Macaca mulatta: one gene and its partner. The protein of the gene in region 2 purifies or fractionates together with the protein of the main gene of each other region. This does not show direct contact. Links are inferred from orthologs where the notes say so. Each region holds a gene or a part of one and is shown on either strand. Other genes may lie near its edges.

Evidence for each region. The genes of interacting proteins can lie anywhere in the genome.
Region 1: the proteins of GTF2H4 (region 2) and MNAT1 purify together in Homo sapiens (co-immunoprecipitation; 3 studies listed by BioGRID and IntAct, with this or other methods). This does not show direct contact. The link is inferred for Macaca mulatta from reciprocal best matches to the Homo sapiens genes GTF2H4 and MNAT1.

The regions. Positions count from the first base shown.
Region 1 is NC_133412.1:133,859,271-133,866,911, reverse strand, and holds the start of MNAT1 (CDK-activating kinase assembly factor MAT1), read right to left. Parts: upstream 4,117-7,641; 5' UTR 4,037-4,116; coding exon 3,948-4,036; intron 1-3,947.
Region 2 is NC_133409.1:152,142,652-152,150,275, forward strand, and holds the start of GTF2H4 (general transcription factor IIH subunit 4), read right to left. Parts: upstream 4,489-7,624; coding exon 4,352-4,488; intron 4,091-4,351; coding exon 3,986-4,090; intron 3,598-3,985; coding exon 3,466-3,597; intron 2,880-3,465; coding exon 2,783-2,879; intron 2,692-2,782; coding exon 2,603-2,691; intron 2,387-2,602; coding exon 2,275-2,386; intron 2,114-2,274; coding exon 2,045-2,113; intron 1,863-2,044; coding exon 1,779-1,862; intron 1,533-1,778; coding exon 1,400-1,532; intron 1,220-1,399; coding exon 1,089-1,219; coding exon of another isoform or gene 1,070-1,088; intron 439-1,069; coding exon 391-438; intron 259-390; coding exon of another isoform or gene 239-258; coding exon 160-238; intron 1-159. UniProt on the Homo sapiens protein: Component of the general transcription and DNA repair factor IIH (TFIIH) core complex, which is involved in general and transcription-coupled nucleotide excision repair (NER) of damaged DNA and, when complexed to CAK, in RNA transcription by RNA polymerase II.

The sequences.
Region 1 (7,641 bases), on a different chromosome or scaffold from region 2:
CTGAGCCAGAATCATTCAGCAAAATAATACCTGCTCCTCTCAAGCTAACAATCATATTATTAAAATGCCTATATTCAATCCCATGAAATACATGCTATAAAAACCCAACGAAGTATCAAAAAAATTTTTCATTAAGAGCCAAGATGAGGTCGGGGACAGTGGCTCACACCTGTAATCTCAGCACTTTGGGAGGCCGAGGCGGGCAGATCACCTGAGTTTGGGAGTTCAAGACCAGCCTGACCAACATGGAGAAACCCCGTCTCTACTAAAACTACAAAATTAGCCGGGCGTAGTGGTGCATCTCTGTAATCCCAGCTACTCGGGAGGCTGAGAAAGGATAATTGCTTGAACCCGGAAGGCGGAGGTTGCGGTAAGCTATCACACCATTGCACTCCAGCCTGGGCAACAACAGCAAAACTCCATCTCAGGCCGGGCGTGGTGGTTCATGCCTGTAATCTCAACACTTTGAGAGGATGGATGTGGCTGGATCACCAAGTTAGTAGTTTGAGACCAGCCTGGCCAACACAGTGAAACCCCCATCTCTACTAAAAATACAAAAATTAGCCGAGCATGGTGGCATGCACCTGTAATCCCAGCTACTTGGGAGTCTGAGGCAGAAGAATCACTTGAACCTGAGAGATGGAGGTTGCAGTGAGCCGAGATCATGCCACTGCACTCCAGCTTGGGTGACAGAACAAGACTTCGTCTCAAAAAAAAAAAAAAAATCCAAGATGTTTTTCTTATCAGAAAAACATCTGATAAGATGCTTTTAAACATCTTTTAAAATGCAAGATTTTAAAAAATACTATTACCCAATATTGGCAATAGGAATCTCCATACAGTTGTTGGGAACATAATTGACAAGATCTTTTTTTTTTTTAAAGATGGGGTTTCCCTACGTTGTCCAAGTTGGTCTGGAACTGCTGGGCTCAAGCAATCCTCCCTCCTCAGCCCCGAAGTAGCTAGGATTACAGGTAGGCACAACCATGCCTGTCTTGACATAATCTTTTTTGAGAACAACTGGGCCATATTTATCAAATTTAAAAGCCAGAAACTCTGACCCAACAATTCTACTACTGGACATTACCCTGTGATTTTTACCTGTTATATCTTATGATATACTGGCCTAAGTGCTCAAAGATATATATATAAAGATATCAAAGATATAAATATATGCATATTTATGGATGGTTACTCCAGGGAAAAACTGAAAATTAAATAAATATTAATTTTTAAAATTTGGGTAAATAAATTATATTTGAACAATGGACTACTATCAAATTGTTAAAAGAAAAAAACATATGCATATTGATCTAGAGAGATTATCCAATATACATAATGAAAAAAGCAAGGAAATATATACATATATACACACATATATATGTTTCTGCTATATTCCTGTTTATGCTAAAGGAAGAAAAAGTTTTCTACCCAAACACACCCATGTTTACATATGCATAGAAAATATCTGAAAATATACACAAACAACCTAAAAGTTGTCACCTCTGGAGAAGTGAACCACGAAACTTTTTTTTTTTTTTTTTTTTTTGACAGAGTCTTGCTCGGTTGCCAGGTTGGAGTGCAGTGGCACAATCTCAGCTCACTGCAAGCTCCGCCTCCTGGGGTGAACTACAAAAATGTTTACCTTTCACTTAATAATTTAGGTTGCTTTTATTATTGTTTATATAATTTTAATTTTTTTAAATGATTGCCAAAAAAATCAGTGAGTTCTCGCCTCCATTCAGAAACAGCAGTGTGTTAGCTTAAAGTACTTCTTTAAAAAGATGACTAATTAGATAGTCAACATGCTAAAGAAAATTACAACAGAGTCGTTATAATCAAAGCTGTATTTTCATGTTTTATAGTGTACCGAAATCATTTAAAGCTAATCATTATTGTGCAAGTATTTCATAGCAGGCCAAGTAAGTCCTGTTTTAATTTTATTTCTACTTATCACCCATGCCACACGCAAAGAATATTAATAATAAAATAGCCAATATATAGTAAACAAATATTATGTGACAGAAACTCTACTAAATATCTCTAAATATTTTACATATATTATTTAATACTTAAGGACCATGATACAAGCAGCAATATTTTCTCTATTGTACAAACAAGAAAAACTGCTAACAAAGAGTTAGTCATTTGCCTAAGGCCACAGAGCCGGTAAAAGAATGTGAAATCAGACAGGCTCATTCCAAAGCTTGTTCTCTCAGCCAATATGCTACAGCCTTTTACTCATTTTGTTCACATTTCAAGTCAAAAAAGGACTGTAAAATGTAGCCTGTTATCTAACAGGTTAGCAAATTAATCAGATTAAATGCAACACCAGAATGAATTAGACAAAAGTCTTAACTCTTAGACCTTAACAAAAAGGGCTGAGGACACAACAAAAGCAATTTCAATTAAAATAAATATTTTATAATTGCCTAATGAAAATGCCATTTATGTTAACTGAAATCATATAATCCTCCCTGAACGCTAATTGCTGCTAGGCCAGAAAATTACATTTAGCATCCTTCTGGTAAATTACATTTAGTTAGCATCCTTCCCAAAAAAATAAACTCTCTTTCCTGTTCCACTTTCCTGTTTCCACTATAACAAACCTGATAAAGAAAAATGGAGAGAAATTGAACGAAATCTCTCTAAAAACAGTCTATCTACAGTGTTTTCCACATAGAATTCCCTTTTCCATGCATTCTTCTTGATTACTTTTACCTTACTTCTAATCTTAAACCATTCAATCACAGCTCTACTATACTTCCTTTGCAGAGTAAAGCAAAGGAAAATAAAGATTAGAAAAGTTAAGTAAGCTAATAAATCCCATATAATAATTATAGCTACAGCTAATCATGTAATTTATGCTTAGCTAAAGACCCTGTCATTGCTCTACGTTTTTGTCAGCATTTGGGGATTGGGAGGAGACCTTGTCTACACACTGTAGATTATCCATTATTTTTTGCCTCCAATAAACCTCAAAGAAACTACAGGAATATGTGCTCACCATTACATGGCACCTTTTTATCCCAAAGTGCTTTCTAGAACCACCTTCACTAAACCACATCTGACAAGAAATCTGGCAAGAAACACTTTGACCAATTCCTGTTTCAAAATACACAAACTCAACCTCCCTCCTTCTACCCCCTTCCCTTGAAAATGGGCGTTCTAAAGTCAGACTTCCTGGGTTCCAGTTCTCTCAAGGCCCACTTAATAAGGGCCCTTGAGCAGTCTCGATTTCCTTCCCTGTGAAATGGAAATACCAGTACCTACTTCATGGGACTGTTGTAGGAATGAACTGAGATAATTCATGGTAAGGCGCTTAGAACACTGCCTGGCACAAAATGTGCACTCAAATGCCAGCCATTATTATATCTTCAAAATTAACTACCTAGAGTCCGGGTTTTCTTCATTTTAATGATGGGAGTCTAACCGAACTCCATCAGGACAAGTGGGCATACACATGGGGTTTTTTAATTAACTCATACAATAAATAGCAGCAGTATATACTCAAGCAAATTTTAAGTTTTCATAGCACTTTCGCACTTTTTCAATAAAAACATTTCATATGAAATAAACCCTCCAATCCCCCACGCTTTTAATCAGCGATGTCTAGAGCCCAATAAACACCACAAAGCCTGGAAATACAGTCGGGATACTACTCATTGGCTATGGAGGAGGGAACCTGACAAACTGCTGGGAGCCACACTGAGAACCCGCAGTTCAAAGCATGCCAGAGCCGCTCGGGGCTAGCGGCTACCGTCCATTTAAAGCCACAACGCCGTCTTTTCCCATTTCCTCACCAATGTTGAAACTTCAACACCACCAAACTTCTTCAACAACACCAACGCCCTTTGCTCCCACTAAAACGAGGCCTAGCATCTCCCGGCCCTCTCCTCCCACCCAGCACGTCTCTCCCCCAGGGAATCCACTGCCGCCCAACTCACAGAGTGTGTCCGCACACATTCACCATCAGCTTCAAGGAAGGGTTCCGATATTTGGTGGTCTTACACCGAGGGCAACCCTGATCATCCATGGCGGTTTCCCTCCTACAGACTCCCCCGGGCGCCTGCTTCAGCCACAGCCACCTTACAAGCCCCCTCAGACGCGACCAAGCAGGTTCCTACCAACAGGCGCTTGGCAGAGATGGTCCCTTCGCGAAAGAGCACCGGCCAGGGGCGAGGCGCTGCAACACAAACGTTCCGGCAGTCAGTTCCCCGGTCTTGCATCTAGAGCTTGGTCTTAGCCTTCCGTAAAGCAACTTAATACCTTGAATTTGACAGGGGAACTTTTAAAATGGCAAATTAAACACAAATCCGTGTCTCCACGCACCCAGTTGCGTTTTTCAAGGTACTGTGTCACAATTAGGAAGATAAATTCCATCTTGTTCTGTCTGGAAACATTCCCATGATTTCAAAGATTTATGAGCAGAGTACTTATTTTCTTTTGGACCACTTAATAGCCTGTGCTTTATACTTCTTTATAATTGCATAGTCATGTAAGCTCGGCTGATAATATGCATTCGCAGATATAAAATTTGAAAAAGCTATCTACTCCCCCATCAGACAGTATTTATTTCCCCAAATACCTAGGATAAAATCACGTAAGAATACATGGCCGGGCGCGGTGGCTCAAGCCTGTAATCCCAGCACTTTGGGAGGCCGAGACGGGTGGATCACGAGGTCAGGAGATCGAGACCATCCTGGCTAACACGGTGAAACCCTGTCTCTACTAAAAAATACAAAAAACTAGCCGGGCGCGGTGGCGGGCGCCTGTAGTCCCAGCTACTCGGGAGGCTGAGGCAGGAGAATGGCGTGAACCCGGGAGGCGGAGCTTGCGGTGAGCTGAGATCCGGCCACTGCACTCCAGCCTGGGCGACAGAGCGAGACTCCGTCTCAAAAAAAAAAAAAAAAAATACATACAGAAGAATTTAGTTCAGCAATTCCAAGATCTGATAGCCTGAATATCTATGTAAATTGTAAACCATGTTCATCACATTTATCAAGAAGGCAAATTGAAGTCTGTAAACAGCTCTATTAAATAATAAACTTTCCCACTGTAAAGGACACATCTTATTCATCTCCAAAATAAAGATTTGTTGATATTTAATAAGTAGACTAAGTGAAGAATTAATGAATGACTATCAAACAATAGTGTAATGTGAAAATTTTAGTGTCATTTTTGTAACCACCTTCACCTGACCCAAACTCCATCAGAAGGCAATATGAAAACAAGATTTTTGGCCGGGCGCGGTGGCTCAAGCCTGTAATCCCAGCACTTTGGGAGGCCGAGACGGGCGGATCATGAGGTCAGGAGATCGAGACCATCCTGGCTAACACGGTGAAACCCCGTCTCTACTAAAAAATACAAAAAACTAGCCGGGCGAAGTGGCGGGTGCCTGTAGTCCCAGCTACTGGGGAGGCTGAGGCAGGAGAATGGCGTGAACCCGAGAGGAGGAGCTTGCAGTGGGCTGAGATCCGGCCACTGCACTCCAGCCTGGGTGACAGAGCAAGACTCCGTCTCAAAAAAAAAAAAAAAAAAAAGAAAACAAGATTTTTCAACTAATCTTATACAATGAATATGAGCTATATGCATTTATAGTAATTTTAACTCATCATAGAACTTGTGTTCTTTTCAATAAAAACATAAAAAGGAACATTCCAACTCACATTTTTAAACAGTGAACCTGGTAGGCAACCCAAAACCCAATACAGTTGGGATTTCCATGGGTATGGAGAGGGACGCTGACAAACAGCTGGATACCACACCCAGGAACGAGCAGATCAAAGCAGGCTGTGACAGAGCTTTACATTAGTATGAAGACATCAAGGATTCATCTAGTAAATAAACCATATCATCTCTTTGATCATCATATTGTTCCTCAACAGGAGTTAACCAAACGTAAACTTACTAAAATAGGTAACACAAAATACTATGCTACTATGCTGACCTGGAGGCTTATTATGCTGCTGCTATTGTCTTATTGAAAGACCACATCCAGACCAGTTACATGATTCAGAGTGAAGCTCTTCAAGAACAAAGGCCACTCTAGTACCTTTATATTTCAACAGAACAGGAAACTTATGTTGAAAGAATGTTATATGTGCAAATAAAATTTGTAGCCAATACTACATTGAGGTCATCCACTCAGATGGCATTATAGTTTAATGCCACTAGGACAGTTTTTGTTTGTTTGCTTGTTTGTTTTGAAACAGGGTCTCCTGTTGCCCAGGCTGGAGTGTAGTGGCCCGATCATAATTCATAGCAGCCTTGAACTCCTAGGCTCAAGTCATCCTCCCACCTCAGCCTTCTAAGTAGCTGGGACTACAGGTGCTAGCCACCAGTCCCAGCTAATGTTTTTTTGTTTTTTTTTTTTTAAGAAATGGGATCTCACATGTTGCCCAGGCTGGTCTTGAATTCCTGGGCTCAAGCAGTCCTCATACCTCAGGCTCCCAAAGTGCTGGGATTACAGGCATGAGCTACCATGCCCAGCTATCCAGGACAGTTTTAATTATGTCTTTGAAGATGAGACCCCAACCACATTGTGAAGTGAATTGCTTTTCCTTTCTCCCGAAACTTAAGATTAAGGCAAAGAAAGCACTAAAGATTGTGAGAAGTAGCATTGCTACAAGCTTTATCCTTTTCCTAGGTGGGAAACTACTAACTTGGAAGGATAGTAGCAACAGCTGACTTGGAAATCTGTCAGATAAGCTTTACTTATGGACCTAAAGACAGTAGAAAATAGCACTTACAGATTTGGTCTCTAGTACCAAGAGAGTTGAATTCAAGTGCTGGCTTTATCACATGATTTATATGACCTCAAGCCTCAGTTTTCCCAATTCTAAGTTCAGGATAGTACTTGTAAAGAATAAAAGATACTTCATTTAAAGTACATAGCATAAAGTAAGAGCTTAGTAACTGCTGGCCATTATTAATAGTAGCATTAGTATAGTGGCAGTAGTATTATCTAAAAGAGGCGGGATAATACAATAACAAGAGCCCAACCTTCTTTTACATCAGTCAGACCTGTGTTTGAAGCAAATTTCCAATCCTCCCTTACCTCAGTTTCCTTCCTGCATATAATACACTTCATTAAATTGCTGTAATATTTAAATTACATGACATAGACATATATAAAGGCCCTACTATATTAGGGCCTCATACATTACAGAAACTCTGAAATGCACATCATTATCACTGGTGGGGGTCAATAACATGGAATGGTCAGAGCTTTGAGGCGGAAAGCACTGACAGCACCAGGTTCTTAATTAAAATGGAACCTCAGCCTGTGTAGAAAACCACCAAACTCAAGTTTCCTACATTTCTTTTTTTTTTTTTAGGAGAAAATAATTTGTCATCCATAATATATAATTTTGAAAGATTAAAAACACATGCATCTCAACACAAATTTTATTTAGGTTCTTTTTTTTTATTATTATACTTTAAGTTCCAGGGTACATGTGCACAATATGCAGGTTTGTTACATATGTATACATGTGCCGTTTTGATTTAGTGTACCCATTAACTCATCATTAAGTATTAAGTATTTCTCCTAATGCTATCCCTCCCCCATCTCCCCATCCCATGACAGGCCCCGGTGTGTGATATTCCCTGCCCTATGTCCAAGTGTTCTCAGTGTTC
Region 2 (7,624 bases):
CCAAAACAAACAAACAAAAAAACTGTCTTGCCAGCTTTTCTCTCCTAGTCCATGAAGTAAAAAATAAAATGCATGAAAAGCTTTTACACTTTATCAAGACTGAATTGTCTGCCCTTTCTCTGGCCAGTGACCAAGACTTGGCCACCAGAAGCTACTCACCCTCAGTGAACCGGAGTCTGTCCCTTTCCAGCTCCCAGAGCCGGATCTGGTCTGTGATGGTGGGGGGCAGCACAGGTGTCTGCAAGGAGCAAGGGTTGGCTGTAGGGACTCAGGAATACTGCCCCAGACAACCCGGCCCTCCGCTTCTTCCCCAGATTTGGATGCCCCTTTTTCTTTTCCATCATCTCATCACCAGCTGCCAGCCTCTGACATCTTGGAGCCTGTCTGTACCTGTTTGAGCATCACTGGGTGGGCCCTTGTCCTTAGGAAATGGATTATCTAGGAAAACAGACAAGAATGGCATGAGGGCTCCAGCAAGAAGGCAGGAAAGCCATCTGAGCTGTCACCTAATGTCACTGGAACATCAGCTTATTCTAAAAACTCCTAACTCCTGTCATCAACTCTACCCATCCCAGTTCAGCTGTTATCCCAAGTTGCTGCTCCCAGCAACTTGGGATATTCCTTTTCTGGCACATTCACCCTTTCCAGTAATGTTTTGTTTTTCTTTCTTTAAAATAGCAAAAGCTACTTTTTTTTTTTAAGCACTTATTGCATGACAGGTGCTGAGCTCAATGCTTTACGCCTATTCTTCCAATGAATTATCCCTGCAACCCTGAGGTAAGAACTGTCACTTACTAGATGAGGAAACTGAGGCTCACAGAAGCAAAACAACTATGTCTAGTTTACGCAGTTAGGAGGTGGTGGTGCCAAGGCACAAATCCACAGCTATACCTCCTCCCTCTATGTTTCTTTCCCCTCAAGAGTCTACCTGTTCTCACACCCAAAGCCTTCATTTCTTTTCAAACACAGACAACTCACCACCACCTATTATAACAGACTCAGAGCTAGCCTTCCATAATGTGACCCTCTGTGCCCCACAGCCCAAGTGCAGCCTGTCTTCCTGCTCTACCTCTCCCAAGTGGGAATACCTGCTGGGCTGTGATGCCACTGGCGATTGCCTGCTGCACACTCTCCCGGGTCACCTGCGCCACCACCATGTTGGGGAACCGATAGAGCATCTCAGAGAAGAGGGCAATGAGGGCAATCTGCAGCTCCGACTCTGAGCCAGGGATAGAAAGAGGATGAGGAGGCCACCCCCACACCCAGACTCCCTCAAGCCCTTCTTTCAAGTGTCATGAGAAATGTCAGAGAGCTCTGAAAACTGCCAGGTAAACATGAACAGAAACTGGCATTCCTTCACCCCCAACCTTCTCTTCCGGGGCACTCTGTCCCGCCTCACCTGTGTAGGCATACAGTCGGTAATTGGTTTCCACCACAATGAAGCCTGGCTGATGCACAGTGCCCCCAGCTCCAGAGACACCTGACGAGAGATTGATGGCCAGGCGCGTGGGGTAGTAACGCCGAGATTTCCTCTGGAAAGGATAGAAAGGCAGATGCCTTGTCTCAGAATTCACTGCCTTACATCTTCCTGCCTGAAATATCAGATCCCTCCCAAGATGCAGAACCTCAACCTCCAACTTCTCTCCCCCAAGAGACCCAAGTATTCAGTTCTGGCAACTGCTTCCTGCTACTTCCCCGGGACCCCACTCCTTTTTAAAGGCGAAGGCAACACACCACCCTGTTTCTTCCCTGGAAGCCACTCATCTAGGCGCTCATACCTTCCTCTGGAAAACAAGCCCAAACTCACGCAGATGTTGCAGGAAGTTCAACAGAGAATCACTCATACCTTCCACAGAGTAATCCTGAGGAACAGAGGTTTCCAGCTGGGGTCCAAAACACAACCCACCCACCCCCAACCCCATCATTCATTCTGTCTTTCTCCATCCACCTCTGCTCGTTCTGTGTTCATTCTTATCTTCTCACTCTACTGCCCCACAATTTGCTTTTTCCTTCCCATCTCTATACCCTTCAGCCCCCTGCTTACCTTGCCCAGAGTAGAGAAGCTGAGCTGGAAGAGGAAGGAGAGAATCTCTACTAGGTCCATGCCCCGGCTCTAGGGAGAAAGAGGCAGAGACAAAGGAGGAGGGATGGGAGGGAGACAATGGGAAGAAAGGGACAGAGAAGAGAAAATCAGGGAACAGTCTGTAGGCAGGAATCTCTCAGTGAGACCTGAGAGGAGCAGAGCATGCTGGCAAGTGGCCCCGGCGTCCTCACCTGGGCTGTCTGCAAATACTGCAACATAAAGTACCAGAGCTGAGCCGGCGTGTCCAGCAACAGGAACTGGAAGCCAGCGGAAGTAATGCAGGGCGGCTCTCCAGGTTCAGTACTACAGACAAAGACCGGGACAATGACGGTGATATGCAGAGAAAGACTACTACCCCCACTTGTCCGCTCACATTTTTTCTTTGTATCTCTGGCTGTATTCTACTCAGCTTGCCTTTTCCAGCTAATGTCCTCTGAGCTTGACTAGCCGCAGATACCATTTCTTAGGGACCCAAGGAGATGGCACTGCAGAGAGCTGCTATACCTCCGGTTTCCTCACCTCTTCATGAGCCCAGCCTGGCTGAGGAGCTGAGCCAAGTCCTGGCTGACAGCTGCACTGGGGGAGCCCACCATGAAGTGCAAGACCACCTGAAGAACAGAAGAGAACAGGGAGACCATGCCCCAAGGGCCATGGGAAGTAGAAGCACAAGCAGAGACACACACAGTCCCAAGTGCTTACCTCCCATCGCTCCTCGGCATACTTGTCAAGGGAGGGAACATCCCGGGCATGCTTGTCTGGTCCCAGCTGACTTGTGTCATCAGACCAGGCCTTCCCCCTAAGGCCAGGATGGGCCAAGAGTAAGGAACCCTGGCCAGGAGCTCACACCTGTAATCCCTGTACTTTGGGAGGCCAAGATGGGCGGATCACTTGAGGTCAGGAGTTTGAGACCAGACTGGCCAACATGGTGAAACCCCATCTCTACAAAAAATACAAAAAATTAGCTGGTGGTTGCCTGTAATCCCAGTCACTCAGGAGGCTGAGGCAGGAGAATCACTTGAACCCAGGAGGTGGAGGCTGCATTGAGCCAAGATCGCACCACTGCACTCTGCCTGGGTGACAGAGCGAGACTCTGTCTCAAAAACACACAAAACAAAACAACAAAAAAAGAGTAAGGAACCCTGTCTGTGTTCCTTGCCACCCTTCTGCCATCTTTCCACCCTTATCCTCAGGGGCCATGAGTGGGGGACATTTCCTACACCACACACTGCAGCTGATCCAACTTACTCCTAAAGGAGCTCCCAACGTGGAGACCACAAGGTTCCGGGGAGGCCCCCAGGAGCTCCCCCTCCCAAACTGTAATTAGCGGTTTAATAAGCAGCAGTTCCCCTGCCCTAGCTTAGGAAGAGAGAGAAGTGACATACCCACCCAGAAGGGCAATGCGGAGGTTCTGGCGGAAAATGGGGTTGAGGATGAGGCCCTGGAGCCCGCCTGGGAGCAGCTGGGTGTGCCAGATCCGGAGGCCGCTCAGCAGCCCTGTACTTTCCTCCTGAGCCCTGGAACAGAAGCAGAGAGGTGAGCAGGGTATTTGGAGAACAAAAAGGAGGACCATAAAAGCCACCTCTCTGCCTGTTCTGAACTTGCTGATCCTTGGAACACTGTTCCACAGAGTGATATTAGTATCTGAAGACAAATTCTTTACTGCATTACCTATCAGAGCCTTATTACAGATATCACACATAACTCTGTAAGAGGGAAGATACATCTGAAAGCAAGAGGTCAGCTGGGAAATAAATAAAAGGGAAAAGGCAGTATGCAGAGTTTCCCAAATGTATTTATTTTTAAGTTTTGTGATATACCTATTAATACGTCCTGGAAGTGCTCCAAGGAACAGTAGTTTGGGAAATGTAGCTGTTGAGAAATTTGTATCTGGCTGAGACTTACTTGCTGAATTCCTTCTTTACCCACAGGGCTACAGCAGCTTGTGGCAAAGGCTGCTCCAGAAAGAGCATCCGCATCACCCAGTTCTTAGCCAAGGATGGGAGCTCCCTGAACAGGGACAGAGGTCAAAGGTTAATATCAGAAGCTGCATTGTATCTGCATCTCTGCCCTCAATTAACTCTCAAACATCTCATCTCACTCCACCACAACTTTACCAGTCCTGCTGTTTTGGCCCCCACACTTTGGAGCAATTTCCAAGCCGCACCCCGAGTCCCCACCCCTACCCCAGCCTGCTACACTTTTATCTGTTATATTTTATTCCAGTCCGCAGACCCCATTACATTTCCCTGCCATGAAGGGGATCCTCACCTGAAGACAGCCAGACAAGTGGCAGGGTGCCCATATAATCGGTCCAATACCCCAGGGCTCAGGCCCCCTAAGAATTCCTGCAGATTCCTGCATTGTAGGTGTACTCGGTTCAGTCCCCTTGAAGGGGTGCTCTCCATCACCTGAGGAATGCAGACATCAGAAGCGCACCCCCACCATCCATGCCAGTGTCACCCCTGACCTTTCTGATTCCAGATCCATGAGTCCCCACAATAACCCCACCTTTTCTGTGGCCTCCTTTCCCATGACACTCAATTCCTCTGGTTTCTCAAAAACCTGACCAATCTCCATCCCTTTCTTGCCTCCTCACCCTGTTTCTGCCCTTCAACTCCAGTCTTTCCTCTGCTCCAAGTGACAGAATTGTCAACTGTCCTGTGTTTGCAAGATCATTTTGTATTTCAATGACTTGTCTCATCTTCGGCTAAACAGAGACAAAGAAAATTGAGCCCACACCTCTCTCTTCCATCCCTCCTGGTCAGATCAGTCTATAAGCTCCAAATCTACCCGAACTTCCTATCTTCTATCTCTTAGCCCACTTCTGCTAAGTACGGCGGTAACCTCTCCCCTCCATGCTTCCCAAATCTAAAGCCACCTCTTTTCCCTTCCCAAGTCTAGTTCACCCCATTCACCCTGACCCACGCCTTCCGATCTCCTAGCTTCTCCCTGCCTTCCTCCCACTCCTCGCCTCTCACTCACCTGTCTCTCTCATACCTCTCCCACTCCCGCCCTCCTAGGTCCCCTCACCACTCTGTCGATCCTCCTCGCGCACCCCGAGTCTCGGGCCGTCGCTTAATCGGAGCCAAAGTCTCGCATTGGCTCCTGGAAACTGAGGGAAAGATGGTGAAAAAATGCGAAGAAAAGATGGGGAAAGCGACGAAAGATTTCACAGGCAAGAGCCCAGAATGGAGAATTCAGAAGAGAAGGGAGGTAAGGGGAGGAGTGGAAAAGTGAAGAGGATTAGAATAGACGATGCACACTCCCGGCGCGGGGGATGCTGGGAATTGGAGTCTTGTCTTTGCTCTCCTTAGAGCCGGCTGAAGTGCGTCTGACTACAAATCCCGAAAGGCACGGTGGGGAAGCCGAAAGGCAAGGAGCCGGCTTTTAATTGAGAGAGCGGGAGACACCAGAAGCCGGACCAGTTGGTTCTGCCAGAACCAACTCCGCCCACGCTGCTAACGGCGCATGTAACCCGATGGAGCGGGAGGCGGGTCGGGGAAAGTAGAAGTGCCTGGAGGGCTTCCGTGCGGAGGCGCGCTGTGGCGACTTGGTGGTGAACCGATTAGACTTAGGGACCACAAAACTGGATTCCGTGAGCACAATTACTCCCCGTAAAATTGGGATAATGCACACTCCGGGCCGGACGCGGTGACTCACTGCTGTAATCCCTGCACTTTGGGAGGCCGAGGCGGGCGAATCACCCGAGGTCAGGAGTTCGAGACCAGCCTGGCCAATATGGTGAAATCCCGTCTTTACTAAAAATACAAAAATTAGCCGGGCGTGGTGGCGGGCACCTGTAATCCCAGCTACTCGGGAGGCTGAGGCAGGTGAATCGCTTGAACCCTAGAGGCGGAGGTTGCAGCGAGCCAAGACAATGCCCTTACACACCAGCCTGGGCGACAAGAGCGAAACTCCATCTCAAAAAAAAAAAAAAGAAAAAAGAAAAAGAAAGAAAGCGTACACACTCCGAAGAGTTTCCACGAGTTAACGATTAACATGATCCAGTGCACCTTACTTGGCGGTAAGTACTCAATAAATCTTAATTTCTTCTCAAATTTTTTCTCCACCACTCCTCAAACCGTCTACTTAGAAAACCCAGATAAAGTCAGTTTTTAGGACACTGACTGCTGTGATTTGATTTATGAACCTACTACAGAGAAAGGCAGAGGTCTTCACCCAAACCCAGAACTACACATTTCCGCAAATTCCTATAAGCAAATTTTGTTATTCCCATTTTATAGACTGGAAGACTGGAGCCTGGCGAGATTAAGAAATTTGCCTGCAGCCTGGCGAGGTGGCTCAGACCCGTGACCCCAGCTGCTTGGGAGGCTGAGGCAGGAGGATCGCTGAAGACTAGGAGTTTGAGGCTACAGTGAGCTATGATCACGCCAGTCTGGGCGACAGAGTGAGACCCCTATCGCGCGCTCTCTCCCTCTCTCTCTCTCTCTCTCTTTTTTTGAAACGGAGTCTCTCACTCTGTCGCCCAGGCTGGAGTGCAGTGGCATGATCTCAGCTCATGGCAACCTCAGCCTCCTGGGTTCAAGTGATTCTTTTACGTCAGCCTCCCAAGTAACTGTGGGACTACAGGTACGCACCACCACGCCCGGCTAATTCTTGTATTTTTAGTAGAGATAGGGTTTCACCATGTTGACCAGGCTGGTCTCAGGGTTTCACCATGTTGGCCAGGCTAGTCTCAAACTCCTAACCTCAGGTGATCCACCTGCCTCAGCTTCCCAAAGTGTTGGGATTACAGGCGTGAGCCACTGCACCCAGCCTGAGACCCCCATCTCTTAAAAAAAAAAAAAAAGGAAAAAAAAAATACCTACAATCAGACAGAAAGTGCCCAAGCTGGGGTTTGAAGCACATTTGCAAGAGACCAGAGATCAAAATGGTGATGACTACGTAAGACTTTGTTATACTTTGTAGCCCACCCATGTTTTCTGTTGTCCCTGTTTTTTTTTTTTTTAGCAATTAATGTTTTAAAATCTTCAAAGAACAGCTAAAAATTGACAAAGCTTCTTTATGGCAAACTTTAGGTAAGGTTGAAAGACAATTTACAATCTAGGAAGAAATGATTGATGAAATAAACAAAATACAAAAAGCTGTTACAAAGCAATAAGAAAAAGAAACATAATGGAAACATTGGGGCAGACCACTGCTTACTCCTTAGCCCTGCTCAGCAAGGAGCAGCTAAAAAAATAAAAGAAATAATGAAAGAAAAAGAAAAGAAAGAGGCCTGGCAGGGTGGCTCAGGCCTGTAATCCCAACACTTCGGGAGGCCAAAGCAGGTGGGTCACTTTAACTCAGGAGTTCCAGACCAGCCTGGTCATCATACAGAAACTCCATCTCTTCAAAAACAAAACAAAACAAAACAAAAATTAGTTGGGTATAGTGGTGTACTCCTGCAGTCCCAACTACTCAAGAGGCTGAGGTAGAAGGATCACTTGGGCCCAAGGATTGAGGCTGCAGTGAGTAGTGATAGCACCACTGCACTCCAGCCTGAGCAACAGTGTGAGACCCTGTCGCAAAAGGAGAGGG